Elephas maximus indicus: one gene and its partners. Each later gene encodes a partner of the first gene's protein in a complex. Links are inferred from orthologs where the notes say so. Each region holds a gene or a part of one and is shown on either strand. Other genes may lie near its edges. The genes, in order: TIMP1, MMP10 and stromelysin-1-like.

What was found.
Region 2: the proteins of TIMP1 (region 1) and MMP10 are in contact, whole or in part, in a crystal structure (PDB 3V96), measured with the Homo sapiens proteins. The link is inferred for Elephas maximus indicus from reciprocal best matches to the Homo sapiens genes TIMP1 and MMP10. Residues at the interface, in NP_003245.1 of Homo sapiens: Cys24, Thr25, Cys26, Val27, Pro28, Asn37, Leu57, Tyr58, Pro87, Met89, Glu90, Ser91, Val92, Cys93, Arg98, Thr121, Cys122, Cys155, Leu156, Ser157, Ile158, Gln173, Leu174, Gly177, Ser178, Glu179, Lys180; in NP_002416.1 of Homo sapiens: Phe170, Tyr171, Gly177, His178, Ser179, Leu180, Ala181, His182, Ala183, Tyr184, Pro185, Tyr191, Asp205, Ala206, Ser207, Gly208, Val214, His217, Glu218, His221, Phe226, His227, Thr231, Tyr236, Pro237, Leu238, Tyr239, Asn240, Phe242, Thr243.
Region 3: the proteins of TIMP1 (region 1) and stromelysin-1-like are in contact, whole or in part, in a crystal structure (PDB 1UEA), measured with the Homo sapiens proteins. The link is inferred for Elephas maximus indicus from reciprocal best matches to the Homo sapiens genes TIMP1 and MMP3. Residues at the interface, in NP_003245.1 of Homo sapiens: Cys24, Thr25, Cys26, Val27, Pro28, Pro29, Val52, Thr56, Leu57, Tyr58, Pro87, Ala88, Met89, Glu90, Ser91, Val92, Cys93, Thr121, Cys122, Leu156, Ser157, Pro159, Gln173, Leu174, Gly177, Glu179; in NP_002413.1 of Homo sapiens: Phe100, Thr102, Phe103, Phe171, Tyr172, Gly178, Asn179, Val180, Leu181, Ala182, His183, Ala184, Tyr185, Ala186, Thr207, Thr208, Gly209, Thr210, Val215, His218, Glu219, His222, Phe227, His228, Tyr237, Pro238, Leu239, Tyr240, His241, Ser242.

The regions. Positions count from the first base shown.
Region 1 is NC_064846.1:124,057,197-124,064,432, forward strand, and holds the start of TIMP1 (metalloproteinase inhibitor 1), read right to left. Parts: upstream 3,102-7,236; 5' UTR 2,995-3,101; intron 2,055-2,994; exon of another isoform or gene 2,052-2,054; 5' UTR 2,044-2,051; coding exon 1,923-2,043; intron 700-1,922; coding exon 620-699; intron 434-619; coding exon 307-433; intron 64-306; coding exon 1-63. UniProt on the Homo sapiens protein: Metalloproteinase inhibitor that functions by forming one to one complexes with target metalloproteinases, such as collagenases, and irreversibly inactivates them by binding to their catalytic zinc cofactor.
Region 2 is NC_064825.1:17,872,333-17,879,866, reverse strand, and holds the start of MMP10 (stromelysin-2), read right to left. Parts: upstream 3,035-7,534; 5' UTR 2,999-3,034; coding exon 2,888-2,998; intron 2,112-2,887; coding exon 1,867-2,111; intron 1,769-1,866; coding exon 1,623-1,768; intron 1,502-1,622; coding exon 1,376-1,501; intron 1-1,375. UniProt on the Homo sapiens protein: Can degrade fibronectin, gelatins of type I, III, IV, and V; weakly collagens III, IV, and V. Activates procollagenase.
Region 3 is NC_064825.1:17,788,752-17,796,083, reverse strand, and holds the start of stromelysin-1-like, read right to left. Parts: upstream 3,030-7,332; 5' UTR 2,985-3,029; coding exon 2,880-2,984; intron 2,111-2,879; coding exon 1,866-2,110; intron 1,768-1,865; coding exon 1,619-1,767; intron 1,463-1,618; coding exon 1,337-1,462; intron 1-1,336. UniProt on the Homo sapiens protein: Metalloproteinase with a rather broad substrate specificity that can degrade fibronectin, laminin, gelatins of type I, III, IV, and V; collagens III, IV, X, and IX, and cartilage proteoglycans.

The DNA of each region.
Region 1 (7,236 bases):
GACTGCTCCAGGGAGCGATGAAGCTGCAGGTGGTGATGTGCAGGTGCCCCTTCCGCAGTTGTCCTGGGGGGAGAGGGGAGGAGGACAAGCAGCTTCTGATTAGCTGGGCTGGGGGCAGGGTGGTGCCTGACTGGCAGCCCTGGAGTACAGATCCTGCTGAATCCCTGGCTTTGTGATAGGCTGAAATTGGGGTGGTCCCCATGTCAACTGGGACCATTCCCTTGGGAGCCTCGCCTGCCACAGGGTGGCTAGGCAGCATTTGAGGAACAGGTTGGCATGGTACAGGGCGAAGGAGCAGGGTCTCACCAGTGATGAGAAACTCCTCGCTGCGGTTCTGGGACCTGTGGAAGTATCCACAGACGCTCTCCATGGCAGGGGTGTAGACAAAGCGAATGTCAGGGGCATCCCCCAAGGCGTCGAAACCTTTGAACATCTGTTGATGGATGAGAGGAAGAGTCTTTGTTTTACTGATATTAATCCTCCCCCTCTATGTTCTATCCTGAAGCCATACAGCATCCTGAGACCACAGCCAACTTCCTTGCTAGCCTGTAGCCAGAAGCTTCTATTTTGATGGAGAGGAAAATGTTAGGAACTGCTGGGGAATGGGCAGAAGGGATACCTTGGTCATCTTGATTTCATAACGCTGGTACAAGGTAGTCTGGTTGACTTCTGCCATCCCCATGAACTTGGCCCTGATGACTGCAAGAGAGGAGGGAAAGAAATGAGTCAAAGGGGCTGTTGAGCAAATAAAAATAAAATACCCACAATAATACTACTAGACAAGCACATACTTAAATAGGCATTACTGCATGCCAGACAGCACACTAAGCGATTTACACATTCGTTCATTGATCCAGCTGTATACTGAGTGCCTACTCATTGCCTGGCACTGCTCTAAGCCTTTTTCATAAATTCTTTTGTTCATTCGCTCAACAAATATTTTGGAACACCTACTGTGAGCCCTGGTGGCACAGCGGTTAAGAGCTTGGCTGCTAACCAAAAGGTCGGCAGTTTGAACCCACCAGCGGCTCCTTGGAAGCCCTATGGGACAGTTTTACTCTGTCCTATTAGGGTCAAGTCAAGTTGGAATCAACTAGGCAGCAACAGGTTTTGTTTTGTTTTTACTGTGTGCCAGAAGGTAACTAGGTGGCACAAATGGTTTGCACTCGACTGCTAACCTAAAGGTTGGTGGCTTGAACCCACCCAGCAGTACCGTGGAAGAAAAGGCCTGGCAATTTGCTTCCATTAAGATTACAGCCAAGGAAACGCTATACAGCAGTTCTACTTTGTAACACACAGGATCACCACGAGTTGGAATGGACGATCGCAACAAACAACAACTGTGTGCCAGACATTGTTCTGTGCTCTGTAGATTCCTTCATTCATTCAACAAGCATTTTTCTCGAACACTTACTGTATGCTAGGCACTGTTCAGGGTGTTAGGGCCACAACAGTGAACAAAATACAAAAATCCCTTCCCTTGTGGAGCTCACATTCTAGCCAGGGGAAGACAGACTAGAAACAAGCAAAGTAAATAAGTATATGGAATATTAGAAAGTATTAAGTGTGATGGAGAATTGCAGAGCTGGATAAGAGGGATCAGGAGTACTAGGGGTCAGGGATTAAGGTTTTAAATAAGGCTGCCAGGGGAGGCCACCCTGAGAAGGTGATGTTTGAGGCAGACACCCATGTGGATACCTGGGGGGAAGGGTGTACCAGACAAATGGAGGGCCAGTACAAAGCCCTGAGGTGGGATCAGGCCTAGTGTAGTCAAGGAAGTGTGAGGAGGCCAGCGTGGCTGCTGCAGAGTAAGTGCAGGGGTGGGTGAAATTATTCTAGAAGTAGGCACCACTGTGAACCCCAATGGACTGAGAGGGAAACCAAAGCATGGAGTGTGTGGGCAGGGTGGGGTACAGACTCACCAAGATCAGAACTGCAGTAGGCCATCTGCGGGTGTGGTGCAGCACAGGTGCATGCTCTGCTGGGGGTGATCAGCCAAAGCAAAAACAGGATGCCAGAGGCCAGGGGCGTGAAGGGAGCCATGGTGGGTTCTGCTGGAGTCAGGAGTCAGGGCAGGGGGTGTCATTTGGCCCCAGCACAGCTGATCCCCCCCCCACCCTCTTCCAGGGCAGCCTGAAAGGGGATTAAGGGGCTGGTTTGGGCTTGGGGAGTTTGTGGATTTTAAGGGAGTTGGTGATTTGGGGAGCCCAGAGGGGTTTAAGGGGTTGGGAGAGTTTAAGGAGTTGTGTGTGGAGTTTGGGTGATTTAGGGGACTGGGTGAGTTAGGGAATTAGAGGGTTGTGGAGTTTGGAATATTAGGGGTGGGGAGTTTTGAGGATTTAGGGGCGTTGGGGGGTTTGGAGGTTGAGAAGTTTGGGGTGAAAAATTTGGTGGTTGGGGGGCTGGAGAAGTTTAGGGGAGGTTGGGAGTTTAGGGGTTGTGAACTGTGAGTGATATAGGGGGCTTGGGGAGTTTTGGATTTAAGGAGGTTGAGGAATTTTGAGGAAGTTGGGGTTTAGGAAGTTGGGGGAGTTTGGGGGTTTAAGGGGTAGAGGGAACTTCGGGGATTAAGGGGGTGGGGGTGCTTCAGAGATTTAGAGGTTGGGGAGTTCTGAGGTTTAGGGGTTGAAGATTGAGGAGTTTGGGGGATTTGAGGGCCAGGGGAGTTTAGGGAGCTGGGGAGACGGGGTGGGGGACTTGGGGGCAGTAAGAGGAATTTAGGCGAGTTGGCAGGTTGGGAGGAGTTTGTAGTATTAATGGGTCACAGGTTTGAGGAAGTTGGTATGGATGTTAGGGGTCAGGGGATTTAGGGGCTCGGGTTTGGTGGAGCAGCTCCAGCCCCACCCTCTTCTCCTTTTTCCAGCCCAGGGTCCTGGTGCTGGGAGGCCAGGGTAGGCCGCCAGGCGTCTGCACAGGAACCGGCCAGCCTGGTGGCTGGCAGGAAAGCTCCAGCTGAGCTCCAGCCTCTGTGGGGCCACCCAGGCCCCTGCCTACCTCTGGTGTCTCTCTAGGCGCTGGGTCTGCGGCGATGGCGGCAGGGCCTGAGCGGTAGGGGATAAATGTCCATGCGAGGGGGCGGGGGTGGAAGCAGTGCGGAAACCACAGGCTTCCAGGCTTCCTGGATGCATTACTCATCCACCCACCATCAGCGCAGAGGCCAAGGGGCGGGTCGCCATTGCGGAAAGGGGGGTGCACCCTCCTCCTCTCCCTCCCCCTGGGCCTCGGTTCCCGGCCACCCCCTCCCCCATCCCCACGTTGTGCACCAATCCTTACAAGCAGCCTCAGTGGAGGCCTTATAGGCAGGATTCCCCCACATCCCCTCAAGTCTCCAAACTTCTTCCAAAGCCTATCGAATTCCTCACATTCCCCAAGCTGCCCATAGCTGAAACCCAAATTAGTTCATTCTTTCAACAAACACACAAGCACACAAAAAACACGAAAATCCATTTCCTTGTAGATCTGACATTCTAGTGAGGGGCAGGGGAGGCAGAGAAGAAACGAATGATGCAGAAGCAATAAAGGAAGATAAGGCATGTGAATGGAGGTGGAATACAAACTGGGAAGCTGAAGTACAGAGTTAAGTGACATCAAGATCACAGAGTTAAAAAGTGGCAGAACTGGGATTTGAGCTCAGGTGGCCTGGAACCAGGGCCTGGGTCTTAACTTCTTTCAAAAAATGCAGCCAAATAGCCAGCATTTATATGGCACCTACTGTGTACCAATGAAGCATTGGTGGTTCAGTGGTAGAATTCTCGCCTTCCATGCAGGAGACCCAGGTTTGATTCCTGGCCAATGCACCTCATGTGCAGCCACAACCCATCTATCAGTGGAGGCTTGTGTGTTGCTATGATACTGAACAGGTTTCAGCAGAGCTTCCAGACTAAGATGGACTAGGAACAAAGGCGTGGCAATCTACTTCTGAAATCAGCCAATGAAAACCTTATGGACCACAATGGTCAGAGCCACAACTGATCATGGGACTTGCGTTTTGTTCCACTGTGCATGGGGTCACCATGAGTCGGAAACTGCGGACTCCACAGCAGCTAACAACAATATACTGTATGCCAGGCACTTGGCATAATTTATCTCATTTAAAGCTCATAAGTCTCTGAGATGAGGACTGGTGGTATTCCGTTTTTACAGACGAGGAAATGTGATGCATTAGAGGGATTGAGGAGTCCCTTGGTGGTGCAAACAGTTAACATGCTCAGCTGCTATCTAAAAAGTTGAAGATTCGAGTCCACCCAGAGGCACCTCAGAAGGAAGACCTGGTGACCTACTTCCAAAAACTCAGCCATTGAAAACCCTGATAAGTATAGTTTACCCTGACACACACACATGGGTTGCCATGAGTCAGAATTGACTTGAAGGCAACTGGTTTTTTAGAGGGATTGAAGAATTTTCTCAGGGTCACAAGACATGGCTGGGATTCGAACCTTGGCTAACACCAGGATCTTAACCCAGGCAAGGCACAGTCCTGGCAAGCCGGGAATGTGCATATGGGGGGGGGGGGGCGGTGTTGAATGGTGGTGAAAGAGGCCAGTGAGTCAGTAGAAAACTGATCCCCACCCCATCCTGCCCTGCCCCTTCCCCACTAACCCTCCCACGCCCCTGGTGGAGGGTGAGATGAGGCAATCCCTGCCCACCAGCTTCCTGATGTTGGCTGTCCCGGGGGTCCTGGGGAAGGGGACAATTCCAAGTTCTGAAGGCTGATTAACATCCTTGGTTAATTCAGGGAGGGTAGACCAATAATGATGATGAAGTGATGATAATACTTACTGTGTATTGTCTACTAAGGTCTGTGTGTAAATTGTCTCATTCAATCTCCATTGCCCCTTTGAGAATTAGGCTTGATTAACTCAGAGAGGTTAGACCAGTAATAACAATAACCACCACCAACAACAACTCGTACGGAGAGTTTACTGTGTAGCAAGCACTGTTCTAAAGTCTTTGTATATACAGTATCTCATTCAGTCAGTTCTGATCACCTCCTTGTTAATTAATGTTGGTTTAATGAAAGGATGTTAAAGCAATAATAATAGTACCCAACACTTATTGAGGATTGAGACTTACTGTGTGCTAGATATTGTGCTGTGTTTTTCCTGAAATAACTAGTTTATTCCTCACAACATCCCTGTATGAGGAACTGCTTATATTCTCATTATACAGATGAGGAAACTGAGACACAAAGGGGTTGAGTGACCTTCCCAGGAATGAGAGTGAAGAAATGACTTGTTAGGGGGGACAGGAAGGAGAGAAGTAAACTCAAAAGATTGTAGACACTGACTGTGAAAGGGGGTGAGTACCGGGGGAGTTAGAGTGAATGAAACGGGTTGAGTAAGAGTGGTAGCTGGCCAGGCTGAGGAAGAAGCGAGGAAAGGGAAAGTCCTGTTGCAGCCCCTCACTGACCCCGGTTCTGACGCCAGCTCTGTGATTCTGAAGCCTGAGTCAGCACAGGGTTTTACCATCTACATATGAGGGTTCTGGGGATCTGGGTTAGTGCACAGGCTGTGAAGCTGGTGGAGTTCTGTGGAAGGAGTGTTCAGGTGTGTGATCATCTGGGGAGTTCGATGGTGTGGGAGCCCATGGAGCCCAGCTGGGGTGTGTAGAGCTAACTCCGACAGTCCCCACCACACACCAGTGCTTAGGTGCCCTTTGTACAGATCAGGAAACTGAGGCCCAGGGAGGAATTAAGTGACATGGCGTTAAGGAAGAGGGGAGGCCAAAATGCAAACTTAGGGATTTCCAGGGGAACCCCAGAGTCCATAACTTCATGCATGCACACAAGTGGAGGCACACACATACACAGTGTGTGCAGGTTCAGGGTCAGAGGACACAAGGACTGTTTATGAAAAGAGGGGCCTAGAAACCTCGGGCATGTGTGCACTCAGCTCTCTGGTGCGTTTCTGCCTCTGAGTGTGTGTGTGTGTGTGTGCCTTTGAGAGCTGTATGTGTGCCTCTAGGTGGTATGTGTACCTCTGTGTTGCTGTGTGTTTCTGAGAGCTGTGTGTATGTGAGTGTTTTATATATCCCTGTGTATTTCATGTTGCTTATGGGAGTTTTGTGTCTGCCTCTGTAAAGCGGGTCCAGGTTGTCTATGTAATTGTGAAATGTTTCGTTTACCTCTGCATGCTGTGTATACATATGCCGTATGCCTGAGTTTGTCATGTGTACGCCTCTGCATTGTTTCCCTGGCATGCTACCTAGAGGACCCTCATAATCCCCCATCCCCGTCTTTGCCCCCCCCCATAATGACACCAGTCATTTGGGAAATGAGGAAGGTGGGGGTGCAGAGGGAGGGCAAGGCCTGAAGGTCAGTCAGTCACCCTGAGCCTGTGGGCTTCCTGTGCCTGTCGGGAACTGGGAACCTCCCGGAACCGCCACCGCCCCAGCATCCCCTCCCGGAATGCCTTCTCTCTACCCCCGTCAGGCATCTGTCTCCACAGCGGGAGGGAGGGGCAGGAGGGGGCCCTTTGCGTGCATTCGTGCTATTGGTGGGGCTGGAGTCACCCAACCCAGGCCCCTCTACCCCACCCAGAGTGGGCGTGGGGGGTGGAACTCGAGGTCTTTCCCACGCCTGAATGTGTATATGTGTGTGTGTGTGTGCGCACGCGCACGCACGCACACACATCCTAAGGAATGTTGTGTGGGCACACACCCAGAGTTGTGGCCTGGGAGTATACTTAGGGTACTGAGTGTCTCTGGTTGTGTGCATGCCTGTGTTCTGTATATGACAAGGCATGTTTTGTGTGTCTAGATATACTTTTTTGTGTGCCCAGGAGTGTAGTGTGGGTCTCTGTTATGGGTCTCAGTGGTTATGTGAATGCCTAGAAGTGTGTACATCTGTATGTTGTGTGGGTTCTTCTGTTTGTTGTGCATGTGCCTAGGGATGTTCTGTGTGCCTGTGTTAACTCTGTGTCTAGTTCTGTTGTGTGTGCCTGTCAGAGTTAAATGTGTCTCTGTATTCTGTGGCTGTATCTCTGATGGTTGTCTCTGTGTTGTATGGGTCACCTGTTGGGTGTTGCGTGTGTCCCTCTGTTAAGTGTGTTTGGGCGAAGGGAGGAGGGCTGTGTGCTGTGTCTGTGTCCAAAAGTGTTGAGTGTGTGTCTAGGAATGTTGAGTGTGTACTGCTGAGAAACAAGGCTGGTCAAGCATGCTGATTTCTGTCCCCTGCTGTGAGCACATGGGGTGGGGGGGTGGTGGATGACTGTGTTGTGGGTCTCTGTGAGCCCTGGA
Region 2 (7,534 bases), on another chromosome or scaffold:
AAAAGCTTTTAAGCTAGAAACAATAACTTAGTTATTGTAAAATTGAATGGTGCTTATTATAGTGTGCCTGGTGGGGCACGAAAGAAATGCAGACATTTTATGAAGTTCTTCAATAAGGATTAGGACAAAGAGTGCTTCTCGTTACCACTCAGCTAATTAGAAATTTTAGTTACTTAGGATGTTCCATTTACTGCTCTATCTGGATAAACAAATTCTTCTGGGATAGGTGTTAGGTGCTGTTGAGTCAGTTCCAACTCATAGACACTATGTACAACAGAATGAAACACTGTCCAGTCCTGTACAATCCTTACAATCTTTGCTACACCTGAGCCCATCGTTGCAGCCACTGTGCCAGTTCATCTCGTTGAGGGTCTTCCTCTCTTTCACTGACCCTCTACATTACCAAGCATGATGTCCTTCTCCAGGGACTGACTGGTCCCTCCTGATAACATGTCCAAAGTACTTGAGACAAAGTCTCACCAACTTTACTGCCAAGGAGCACTCTAGCTGTACTTCTTCCAAGACTGACTTTTTCATTCTTCTGGCAGGCCATGGTATATTCAGTATTCTTTGCCAACACCATACTTGAAAGGCATCAATTCTTACTCAGTCTTCCTTAATCGTTGTCCTGCTTTTGTATGCATATGAGGCAATTGAAAATACCATGGCTTGGATCGGGCACACCATAGTCCTCAAAGGGATGTTTTTGCTTTTCAACACTTTCAAGAGATCTTTTGCAGCAGATTTGCCCAATGCAATATGTTGCTTGATTTCTTGACTGTTGCTTCCATGGTGTTCATTGTGGATCCAAGTAAAGTATAAAACCTTAGCCACTTCAATATTTCCTCCAGTTATCATGATGGAGCTTATTACGGTTGTGAGGATTTTTGTCTTCTTTATATTGAGGTATAATCCATACTGAAGGCTGAAGTCTTTGCTCTTCATTGGTAAGTGCTTTGAGCCCTTTTCCCTTTCCACAAGCAAAATTTGTCATCTGCATGTTGAAAGTTTTTAATGAGTCTTCCTCAAATCCTGATGCCATGTTCTTCTTCATGAAGTTTTTTGGGTTATTTGCTCAGCATACAGATTAAATAAGTACAGTGAAAGGATACACCCCTGATGCATGCCCTTCCTGATTTTAAACCACACAGTATCCCCTTAACCTGTTCTGATGGCTGCCTCTTGGCCTATGTGCAGGTTCCTCATGAGCACGATTAAGTGTTCTGGAATTCCCTTTCTTTGCAATGTTATCCATAATTTGTTATGATTCACACAGTCAAATGCCTTTGCGTAGTCAATAAAACACAGGTATACATCTATCTTGGATAGAGATGGGCATTATTTCTGAAATCATTTTGAGAGAGTTATGACCCACCTGTTTTATCCTCTGTCCATCGTTCATCATCATCGAAGTGAACATCTCCATTTATCCCTGGCCCAGGTGCATAGGCGTGAGCCACAGTGGCTCCAGGTCCATCAAAAGGGAAAAAGTCCCCATGTTCTAACAGGGAAAATGATTTTTTTATTGGAGAGATGAATAATTAGGATTTCTTTTTAATTTTTCCAAAAAAAAACCTGATACATGGATATATTTCATGTTTTTAAAAATAATTATTATTTACCTCTGACAGCAAAGGAGATCATTATGTCAGCCTCTCCATTATTCCTGGAGAATGTGAGAGGAGTCACCTCCTCCCAGACTTTCAGAGCTTTCTCAATGGCGGCATCAACAGCATCTCTTGGCAGATCCAGTGTATAATTCACAATCCTGTAAAAGAAAAATAGAAGGTAACATTTTCTCCTGTGACAGTAATTTACAGAGTATAATCTTATAATCTTATGTGAAAACCTATAAGTAAAAATTACCTGTAAGTAAGGTGAGTCTTCCTCCACTTTGGTGAGCTAGGAAAGGTAGTGAATTGACCGACATCGGGGACTCCACATCTGGGCTTGCGCATCACCTCCAGGGTGTTGGAGTCCAGCTTCCCCGTCACCTCCAACCCAAGGAACTTCTGCATTTCTTGAATTTTTCTAACCATAGGGCTGCTGTCCTTTCTTCTTACAAACTGTTTCACATCTTTTGCAAGGTCATAGTATTTTTCTAGATATTGCTTATGAAAAAATAAGCATAGATTTTAGGTAATTTTTACAGTTGCCTGAATGTCACAATTTAATTATTCTCTAGTTTATTGAAACCAAAGCAAACAGCACACTTAATTTGATTTTTCATGAAGACTCCTGATTTCATTATTTTATCTTTGTACTAAGTTTTAAATTTCATTGCAATTTAATCTGCTAGCCAAGTAAAGAATTTGAAGTTGAGAATTTAGATCCAACCTGTTTAAAAAAGAGAAACATAATTGTATGCATACTTTGAGCATGTCTAACTTTTTCCACTTTACGTTGTTAATATAAACCTGGTCAAGACTAAATGGGACAAATTCTTGTGTCCAAACATGACAACCAACGATATAAACATTATTACTTGGTATCATTGCAAGACTAAAATTCACATGTTCTCCCCACCCTGCTATTATTTTAACTAAGGAAATTCTAAAATCAGTTTTTCAGAAGCTTTCCATTTATTCTCTTCACTTAGTCCTGAAGCTGCCTGTAATATTTTATTGTGTGACCTTAAGTAATTATCTCTTCTTCCTGGGCCTCTTTTTCATTTTCTGTTAAAATGAAGGGACTTCCACTTCTAGCACTTTAATCTCCCTGATCCTAAGTTATCCCAACATAATAACCCCCAATCGAATCATTCTGCTTACAGCTGACTTTGAGTCTGGCTGTAATCCCCTCCTCCTCTGATTATCAAGCTGAAACAAACACACTTGTCTCTCCACTTGGACTGACCAGGGGCGTCATGGCCCCCACCATTAATTACCTGGACGAGATCCATGTTTGAATCCTCCTTCACTGCCCCAGCCAGTGGATAGGCCAAGCAAATTGGCAGACATAACAGCACAAGGACGACAAGGTGCCTCATTCTCACCATTTTCACCAAAGGAAAACACCTTCTGTGACTACTGGCTTCTCTCTCTACCTGCTAGTGGCTGGACTTATATAGGGCGACAAGGCTTATATCATCATGTGTGTTTGGTGACTAAGGTGTGTGTGTGCTCTTTCTTTTTTTTTTTTTTTTATCTGAATGAAACCGGAAAGGGTCACCAGAATTCAACAGGAAGATGATACAGACTCTATCAGTAATTTCCCTTGAACTTCGAAATGCACAAGAGAATGATTAATTTCTAGGAAGTGGCTTCTGTGTTTATGAAGTGGAAAAAGAAACTACTAGATCATTCATGTTTATGTGTTTATTGGTAAAAAGTCAAAAGTTCAGACCTTTCTAAATCTGTTCAGGTTTTTTTTAGGAATAGTTTATTTTAAGCTCAAATATAAGTGGGTTAGGAAAAAGTAGTTGAACGGAAGGAAATTCCAAATATAATTGTGGTCTAAATATGGAAACTTATCTCTAGGAGGATATTAGGAGAGGTATTTCATTTTTTGAGTCCTTGTTTAAAGCAGTTATTACAAGTTTCCAGATGGATTTACTGGCCCTGGAGGAGGAACACCGTGAGAAGGGAGTGGGCCATGGAAAAGAGGGTCTGTAGAGGAAGGAAGAATCACACCGATTCGTCTTTGGTTTTCATTCATTGTCCATTTCAGAATAAATGATATGCTCTTTGTAACTGCTTGATAAAAACTTGTCAAATTGCATATTAGAATGAAATGTTCCTCCTACCTTCCTCTTCTTTGTTGCTTTAAAAAAACCTTTTTATCTTCTTTTCCTCCTACTAAAGGACAAAGAGGAGATGGATTGAAATTTGTGAAGGGGAATAATTTCAAATACTCCTTTTCCGTCACATATCTAACCATCTACTCCTGTCCATCAATAGCATTTTCTCTCTTTTTTTCCCCTCAGCCGAGTGCTTTCACATTGTAAGTCTGGGATAACATTTTTGTCAAATTAATCTATTAATATAAAAGACAGTAAAATTCTTTTAAGATAGAATTATCTTTCTTTTTCCTCACTAAAGATAAATGAACTCTACCATACCTGGAATATGCAAAGGAATAGGAGACTGAATTTATGGGTGTGCAGGCATGATCCCATCAGCACCACCAACTATCTTCACCCTACTTGAGATTGACTAGACAAGATGGAAACTTCAGGAACCTGGAGGCTCTAAAACCTTGCACCAGAATTGGAAAGAAATCTGGATGGGCACTGATCGGCCCATGTCAACCTGTGGCTTAATATAGCCAAGGGTTTGCTCTATAGTGTGGTGCAGTGGAAGGAACCTCAGCTTGAAAACAGAGGGAAAGGGGCTTACAGCCAGACTCAAAGTCAGCTGGATGGCTTTGAGCAAATATACAAAAATTGTTTTGGGAACATTTTATTAGCTTTAGGTGAAAGTTTACACAGCAAATTAGTTTCCCATTCAATAAATAAGACACAGATTGTTCCTGACATTTGGTAGCAATCCCCACAATACGTCAGCACTCTCCCCATTTCCATCCATGTCAGGGAACCTTCACTCCATATCACTCCGTGTTTGCTGGCTTGGTTCTTCTTCCAAATGTTGTTTGAATTCTTTACCATTCTTTTTGATGTTCAGGGTTCAAGGATTGTCATCTGCATCTTTTTTATTTGGTTTCTCGTGTCTTTGCTGTACAGGGATGGCATAATGTGTTTGACTAAGTTGCCATCTTTAGGTTAAATATATCTAATTTCTGAAGGACATTGTTCTTTCATCTATAAAAATGGTTTATAAGAATTACATGATATGTTACATATAAATTGTCCTTCGCTTAGCCAGTGTTCCATAAATATTAGTCCTTTAACTTCCCATATGGATTCTCTTTTTTGCTTTCTTTCTCCCATAGTTTTCTAGAAAAGATTTGAGGGATTTCACTCAGTGCACAACACAGTGGTATGCAAAGTGTGGGCTGTAGGAGTGGTCCATGCTGGGTAGAGGCAATGAGAGAGAGTATCAGCCATAAAGAATTTAAAACAATAATAAGCCAAAAAACCAAATCCATCGCTGTCAAGTGATTCAACTCATAGTGACCCTATAGAACAGAGTAGAATGGCCTCATAGGGCTTTCAAGAAGCAACTGATGGATTTGAATTGTGGACCTTTTGGTTAACAGCCATGACACTTAATCGCTGTGCCACTAGGGCTCCAAAAATAAGGGCAATTAAAATTTGGTCTGTTTTACAGGGCAAATGAAATATAAACAATTAGTGATAAAAACAACAAAAGGGGAGGAGAGGATTGGTATAGATATAGAATTTCCTGTATATTATTTAAGATGGCACCAACTTACCTAGAATGTTATAAATACAAGTTCTTATATACAATATTCAGAGTAACCAGTAAGAAAATATATTTAAAAAAATACACAAAAGGAAAGGAGAAGGGAAACAAATAGACTCACTACAATAAACCAACAAAACACAAAAAGCAAGCACTAAAGGACAAAGACAAAGAAGGCTTAAGACATTCAGAAAACAAAAAAACAAAACGACGTAAGTTACCTCTCATCAACAATTACAGTGAATGCAAATGGTCTAAATGCTCTAATCAAAAGGTTGACAGTGGCTGAGTGGATTTAAAAAAAAAAAAGGTATGTTGTTTACAAGAGCCACAATCCAAGGACATAAGCAGTTTGAAAGTGAATGATGCAGGAAGAATCAAAAGAACCTGAAAGGATGGAAGGAATACACAGGGTCACCGTACCAAAAAGTATTGATCGATGTTCAACCATTTCAGGAGGTAGCATACGATCAAGACCTGAGGGTGCTGGAGCAAGAAGTCCCAGCTGCACTGAAAGCACTGGCGGAAAACAAGGTTCCAAGAATTGACAGAATACCAACTGAGATGTAGCAACAAATGAATACAGTGCTGGAGGTGCTCACTCATCTATGCCAAGAAATTTGGAAGATAACTACCTGGCCAATCAACTGGAAGAGATCCATATTTGTGTCCATTCCAAAGAAAGGTGTCAAACGTAATTTTAGAACAATATTGTTAATATCACACGCAAGTTAAATTTTGCTGAAGATCATTCAAAAGCTCTTGTAGCAATACCTCAACAGGGAACTGCCAGAAATTCAAGCCAGATTGAGAAGAGGACGTGGAAGGGTGATATCATTGCTGATGTCAGATGGATCTTGGCTGAAAGCAGAGAATACCAGAGAGATGTTCACCTGTGTTTTATTGACTATGCAAAAGCACTCGTCATTCATAAAAAATTATGGAAACGTTGGCAAGAATGGAAATTTCAGACCACTTAATTGTGTTCATGAGGAACAGACCAAGAGGCAGTTATTTGAACAGAACAAGGGGATACCGCCTGGTTTAAAATCAGGAAAGGTGTGAGTCAGGGTTATCTCCTTTCATCATACTTATTCAATAAATATGCTGAGCATATAATCATAGAAGCTGGACTATATGAAGAAGAACACAGCATAAAGATTGGAGGAAGACTCATTAACAACCTGCAATATGCAGATGACACAACCTTGTTTGTTGAAAGGAGGACATGAAGCACTTACCAATGAAGATAAAAGATCGCAGCCTTCGCTATGGATTACACCTCAACATAAAGAAAACAAGAATCCTCTCAACTGGACCAATAAGCAACATCATGAGAAATGGCGAACACATTGAACCTGTCAAGGTTTTCATTTTACTCGGGTTCACAAGCAACACCAACGGAAGCAGCAGTCAAGAAATCAAACAACATATTGCACTGGGAAAATCTACTGCAAAAGACCTATTTTAAGTGATAAAAAAGCAAAGACATCACTTTGAGTACTAAGGTGTGCCTGACCAAGCAACAGTATTTTAAATCACCTCATATGCATGTGAAAGCTAGACAATGAATAAGGAGGACCAAAGAAGAATTGATACCTTTGAATTATGGTATTGGCAAAGAATATTGAATATACTATGGACTGCAGGAAGAATGAACAAATCTGTATTGGAAGAAGTACAGCCAGAATGTTCCTTAGAAACAAAGATGGCAACACGTTGTCTCACATACTTTGGACATATTATCAAGAGGGACGAGTCCCTGAAGAAAGCCATCATGCTTGGTAAAGTAGAAGGTCAGCAAAAAAGAGGGAGACCCTCAACTAGACAGATTGACACAGTGGCTGCAACAATGGCCTCAAGCATAACAATGATTATGAGGATGGTGCAGGACCTGGGAGTGTTTCGTTCTGTTGTACATAGGGTCACTATGAGTCAGAAGTGACATCACGGCACCTAAGAACAACAAAAATAATCTCTCATGAATATGGATGAAAAAATGATCAACAAAATTCTAGCCAATAAAACTAAGCATCATATAAAAAAATAATACACCACGACCGAGTTGGATTCATACCAGATATACAAGGATATTTCGACATAAGAGAATCAATCACCACAATCCACCGTATAAATAGAACAAAACAAAAGAATCATGTTATCATCATCATCAAATACAGAAAAGGCATTTGTTAAAGTTCAACACTCAT
Region 3 (7,332 bases), on another chromosome or scaffold:
TATATTTAACTCCTTGCCACCACCCAATCTCCCATCCCTACCCACCACTAGCATTAAAAAAAAAAAAAAAAAGCATTAGAGTCTATTAACTTCACAAGAACCAGGTGTCTTTTCTTCTGTTCAGAAGTGTAGTGGACCCAACTGTTTAAAAAATCAATAAATATTTCTCTTCATTTGTCATTGAAAATTAAAAAATCTAAACACTGTCTCAATGTAGTAATATTTGCTGGTTATGGTCTCAGTTAAATGAATCACAGTTGATTCATTTCAGTTCTGAAATTCTTAGAAAACCATACTCCTGTTATTTTCCATTGAAATATTGCCTGCATAATTTTTCTGTCTAATCATCATTATTTAATACATATTGAGTCAAAATAATAAATATAGATATCACAGGATTTGAAAAATTAGTTTAAAATATAAATGCCCAATCATATCTAGGATTTGTCAGAAAAGAGATTTTGATCACATAAACGCTGGCTGTATTCAGATATTTTTATTCATATTATTTAAAAATATATAGAAATTGGAAGGCATTAGGTAATTATGATTGACATAAGTAACATAACAAGTAAATCTACCTCTGGAAAAGTTATTTGTCTAACTCATGACCCCAGGAAAGGTCTCATTTGAGACTTCGCAGGAAGAGGTTAATTAAATCAAACCAAGAATTGTATCTAGCATTAACCTCACATTTGTACTCTCTGCAGAAATTCCGTTTGCATTTTCATTATAAAGCCCAGCCAAATCTTAGAAGCAATATTATTCGGTTCAGCAGATTGTCTGAAACTTTGGAAGTCATTTCTTAAAGTATATAATATAGCTTTGAACCAAGAAATATTCTTCCACCTAAACAGTGTGGACATTGTATTTTTTTTTTTTTTTATTTCCTTCAGAACAAGTTCATGAAAACTCTTCCTAAACTTGAGGCAGTAAAATGTTGACTTAGCCAGAATAACCGAGAACCTCAATGTCTCCAATTTAATTCTGATTTCTGTTTTGAAGAAGAAAGATGTGAATGGGGGAAAATATATAAACACCGCTGAGGGCATGTTTTATGGTCAGTGTAGATTTAATGCAATAAACTATCCCTTGGATATCTGAAATGTGGTATAATGAGAATTCGATCTTAATAATAATGGACTGAAGATCCCACAAGATCCACAGTTATTTTTCTTACATTGTACTTACCAAGGCAAGGAATAAACCTTTAAAAAACTAGAAAAGTTTTCAACATTGATTAATGCTCATTTCTTGAACATTCTTCGATACTAAGAGTTTTCCAAATATAGAAGGAAATTAGCACCAAAGTCATTATGAGAGAAGCTTAACTTACCTCTTTTATCCTCTGTCCATTGTTCATCATCATCGAAGTGAGCATCTCCATTAAGCCCTGGGCCAGGGGCATAGGCATGAGCCAGAACTTTTCCAGGTCCATCAAAAGGGATAAAATCTCCATGTTCTAATAGAGAAAAATGTTTTTTTTTTTTTTTAAAATTGGAAAGATAGGTAATTAGTATCTCTTTTTAGGCTTTTCAAATAAAACACCACCAGATCAATGAATATATTTCATGTTTTTTGGATTGTTTTGTTTTGTTGGTTGGTTACTTTTAATTACCTCTAACAGCAAAGGAGATCATTATGTCAGCCTCTCCTTCATTATTCCTGGAGAATGTGAGAGGAGTCACCTCCTCCCAGACTTTCAGAGCTTTCTCAATGGCGGCATCAACAGCATCTCTTGGCAGATCCAGTGTATAATTCACAATCCTGTAAAAGAAAAATAGAAGGTAACATTTTCTTCTGTGACTGTAATTTACAGAGTATAATCTTATAATCTTATGTGAAAACCTATAAGTAAAAATTACCTGTAAGTAAGGTGAGTCTTCCTCCACTTTGGTGAGCCAGGAAAGGTAGTGAATTGACCGACATCGGGGACTCCACATCTGGGCTTGCGCATCATCTCCAGGGTGTTGGAGTCCAGCTTCCCCGTCACCTCCAACCCAAGGAACTTCTGCATTTCTTGAATTTTTTTAACCACAGGGCTGCTGTCCTTTCTTCTTACAAACTGTTTTGCATCTTTTGCAAGGTTGTAGTAGTTTTCCAGGTATTGCTATAGGAATAATTAGTTCTTAGGTCAATCTTATGATTTTTATCTATTTATAATAATTTTTTACACTTGCTCACATTTCTTAATGTATTTGAAGTATTCCTCTAGTTTGCTGAGATAAAAATAAATGGTATGTTTGTTTACTTCTTAAAGCCTCCCCCTTCTCTTTGCTTTGTCTTTGTAACTAAATACCTCTGCAATTTAGTTTGGTACCAAAGCAATGGCAGAGAAGTGAAAAATTGAAATAACATCTGGTTCACTTAAAGAAGAAAAACAAAACAAACAAACCTCTTTTGGCCTAACTGTATACTCTGGATAAAATTATTCAATTTCCCACTTTATACTACCCACAAGGGTCTGGCTTAAGAAAAAAGTTGGCAAAATCCTTTTGTCTAAACATGACATGAGCAATATAAATATTTAGTTAAAATGACATTGAATCAAAATATCTAAAAAAGTTCCAAAACAGGGCATACTTCATTGTGCTCCACTTGCCCTTTAAGTACTTCAAGTCCTAATGCTGCTGCTACGACAGTGTTGCGTGATCTCAAGAAAAAACCTCACATTTCTGGTCCTTTGTTTCTTCCCACATAAAAAGAGGAGCCTGAATGATGTGATACTGAGACTCTTTCCACATCTAATACTTTACAACTTTCTGTCCCTGAACTGTTTCTACACAGTAAGTTCCAATCGTTCTAGTAAGAGTAGTAGGCAAGGAGGGTCTCCCTACTTGTCCCTACCAGTGGGTGGGATGGATACCTCCATTAATTACCTGAACAAGATCCATGCTGGTGTCCTTATTCTTTGCTGTTTGTTCCAGAGGGTAAGCTGAGCAAGCTGCCACGCACAGAAGCACAAGGATTGGAAGATTCTTCATTTCCACCGGCTTTACTCAGCTCTACTTGAAGAACTCCTTATGCTCTGACTACCTCTTTCTAGGTCCACCCTCCAGAGCCCAACTTTTATAGGGTGACAGGATTTGTTCAAAACACTCACAGCTTGACTCATGATTTCTTTCATCCAAATGGAAATGGTCCAACAGGACTATTTCCAGAAATTCCAAACTCAAAGTAGAGTGATACAACGTAATTTACTAATTTCTCTCAACCTTCCAATTTTACAAAGCGAAACAGTGATTAATGGCCAGGAAATACTTCCTGTTTTGGTAAAGGAGAAAACTGGGACATTTTTCCTTAAAAACTCTGTAAAGAAAATGGACCGGAATTTACTAGACAATTCATGCTTGTGTGTTTTTGAGGAGAAGCGGGCTGACTTAACAAAAAGTTAAAATTGAGCAGAACTTTCAAATGCAGTTATACTTTAAGAACATATTTTAGAATAAAATGTAATATGACAAGATATAAAGAAATGAAATGCCATGCATATGTAGCTATAGTCTGTATCTAGAAGAAAATTGGAAGGGAGAATTCATTTTTTGTGTCTTTGCTTCCAAATATCAGTTGACAACAAGCCACTTCCAACTCGTGGACACCCCGTTATTGCACAGTAGAACTGTGCTGTATAGGGTTTTCATGACTGAAACCTTTTAGAAGCAGATAGCCACCCCTTTCTTCCCAGATCCTTCTGGGTGGGTTCGAACTGCCAACCTTTACAGCCTTGCAGTTAATCTTTTGTGCCACCCAGAGGAAAAAAAAAAAAAAGAGAAATACCTACTATTAATTTCTGGTTGGATTTGCAAGTCCTTGAGGAGGAAAAGTGTAGGGGCAGGATAGAATAAAGAGAGTCTGTGAAAAAGAAGGAAGTGTATCTATTCTCTTATGGTTGGTTTTAATTCTGTACCCAATTTATTAAGGGATAATAGACTCAAAACAGGTGCTCCATAAATGCTTGCAGAATTGGCATAAATTACGTCACTCACTGGACTGAAATGCTCCTCGGTCTTTATCTTCTACACTTTTATTCTATACTTCTAGTTGTGAACAGTACAAAAAAAAATTTGACTTTTTCAGCTCAGAAATGAAAATAGTTTCCACAGACCAGTCATTTGTTATATGGCTAATTATATACAAGAGATAGATAGTAGCTGGTGTTTATAAATCTGGTATCTCAGGGATCCAGGAACTTTTAATTAAACTTTAATTTAGCCTGATCCAAATTTGGATTCAAAAGCTGGCAGTTAATCGAAGTAATATCCTATCTGATAACTTTTCATATCTATCTATCATGATTTTCCCTGACTAATCAGACAAGATAATCCATGATCCTTACTACCTCTAAAACCTAACCTGTTGCCATGGAGTTGATTCTGACTCATAGAAACCCTTCTTCTGGTTAATACAATCATTCTTTCAGATAAACACTCCTTTATCCAGTGTCTTAGTTTTACATGTTTCAGAATACTCAGACTGAGATTGTAGGTTTGGAGATAAAAATCAAAAGGAACCCTTAGAGAACAAGTGGTCAAAGTAGCTATTTTAAAAAAGGAAGGAAGGCAAGAAGATTAGTTGGTTATAATCTAGTAGGGGAGAAGATTCCAGTGCAACTAAGTCTACAAGGAATGAAGTGAGAAGTTGTATAAGAATTAAGCAGAGGAAAAGGTGTTTAGAAAAAGCTCTGGGATAAAATAGCTGATAGGTGGAGCCTAGAAAGATTTGGACAGGAAGGTAAATACCAGAACAGAATAATTACGATGCAGAGTCAAGAAAGCTTAAGATCTATACAGAAAAAGGCAAAGAGTTGATTTTTTATTGAAGTACAAGATGTTTGGAGAGTGGTAATGAAAAATAAGGTTGTGGGAAGATAGATTGAAGCCCAGTCATTGGAAGGCCATTAGATAAAGTGTTTAGAGTTTATTCTGTTGGTAGTGTGGAGAGTCATGATTCTGAATAAAGTTTTGTTTTGTTTTTTTCTAATATGCCCATTATAGAAAATTTAGAAAACTTGAAAAAGTAGAAAGAAAAGAAATCATTTCCAGTCTTATCAGGGAAAAGCTACTCTTAGCACTTTTGCTGTATTTTCTTATTTTAAACTGTGTGCGCTTTTTTTTACATCCTGATGATCTCTTGAAATTTGTAAAATTTTATGTATATATATATGTACTTTTTTTTTTTTTTTTTACAATTCTGAATCCTATCAGCCAGAGAAAAGCACTAACAAGGCAATATATTTCATCAGAATTGTAGGATAAAAAAATATTGTTTATAGGTTTCTTCATGTTTTTCATAGTTGAAATCAGACTATAGATGCTGATTTTTATGCTTATTTTTCACAGACTTTCAAACTATCTAGTTGGAAGAAGAACTAGAATGGAAGAGGGGATTAGGGACAGACAATATCTGCAAGTGGATGGCTCAGTCTTGTTTTCGTTTATAAAAAGCATAAGGACTCTGATCACTTCATTAAAAAAAAACCCAAAAAACCCAACCCTGTAGCTGTCAAATTGGTTTGGACTCATAGCAACCCTGTAGAACAGAGTAGAACTGCCCCATAGGGTTTCCAAGGAGCAACTGGTGGATTCAAACTGCTGACCTTTTGGTTAGCAGCCGAGCTCTAACCACAAAAATGTCAAAATCTATCATTCAGATTCCTTGGCAATGACAATAGCCTTTGCGTGGTTCCATGTAACTCTGATTTTCCAGAGGGAACGAGAACATTTTGCCATAATCATAGCATAAGTATTTCAATTGTGCAAACAGTATAGTATCAAATAAGATGTTCAACGGTTCTCCAAGACAGGATATTCCATTTGATTGTAAGGTAAATACTTTCTTTTTTTATATGAAGACTGGAGTGGAAGCAGAAGGGGAACAGGAGTGAGAAGCCCTATGGACCGATCTTCACCTTAGGTCACAAAATCCATCTGACAAACCATCATTCAAGCAGACAAGTGACTTTGTCAAATAAACTTGGTAACGGCAGTTCTGTTGGGCCTTTTAAACCCCTGACATACCCCTTCTGGAATTGTTAGTTTTGAGTCGACTTTCAATTGACAATTGTATGCTTTCATGTAATTTTTTTTTTCCAAGAATGATTTAGGAGTGAAATTTATTGATTCTTGCATGTCTGAGCATGCCTTCTGTTAGCCTCTCCTGTGGAAGATATTTTGGTTAGGCATGAAACTCTAGGGTTATAATTTTTCTCTGTTTTTCAAAATTAAGATCCACGCGATAGAGAAGGGGACGCAATATTTTCTAGCTAATAGGAAAATAAGGTCCTGGGTCTCCGAGCAGACAGGTAAGGAGAAAATTATCTTTCTAGCTCTTTTAGATGGCCAGTGTTTGCTGAATTTTCATAACACAAAACACAGATAAGCCTCCAAATATTTATTTCAATCCAGCTTCACTGTCTTTATAGACAGTAGAAAAATTCACTCTAAAACAATCAGTCTTGCTTTCAATGTTATAATTTTTTCTTCTCTTTTCATGTGCTTTAGCACAGCATTGGGAAAATTTCCTTCAGTGCCTAGTAGCCCAGTACTCTTCATCAGTAAGTTCTTCAACTCTGTATGGATCATAGCAAATTATGGATAACATTTCGAAGAATGAGAATTCCAGAATTGTGCTCGTGTAGAACCTGTACACAGACCAAGAGGCAGTCATTCAAACAGAACAAGGAGATACTGCCTGGTTTAAAATCAGGAAAGGTGTGTGTCAGGGTTGTATCCCTGTCTGGCAGTTCCCAGAAAAACTGCTGCAACTGTTTTGATATGTATTGACATTTTTTTTTTCCTTAAATCTGGGCCTTCATTTATGCTTTATTCTGGAGGTTCAGTTTCTTCACATTTTGCTCAAACATCTGTGTCTGGTAATGCTCATTCCCCCGTCAGACGCCTTATCTTCTTTTGAGTCATGATTTTGTTAGTGTTGACACATTCTTTCAATGGGTCACTTTATGTAAGAATGATAGAATCAAAGTTTGTGTTGTAGTAACAGTTATAATTAGGGCTGGATATATTCCAGAGCAGAGCTAACTTATGCTCCCACAGAGCTAGTGTTGGTATGCCAGTTTACTGTCCATTAAAACCGAGGTTCTGAGCTTATATTAAAACAAAACAAAAAAACCAAAGGGGTGGCTGGTGGATTCAAACTACCGACCTTTTGGTTAGTAGCTGAGCTCTTAACCACTGTGCACCAGGGCTCCAAACTTACATAGTTTTAAATAAACCCTGAGTCTTTTTAGAGTGTGTAATGTAGTTTTTTTAATGTAGTTAGACAAATATATATATATGTGTGTCCTTTAAGAAAAGAGAAAACTACTATACAGGC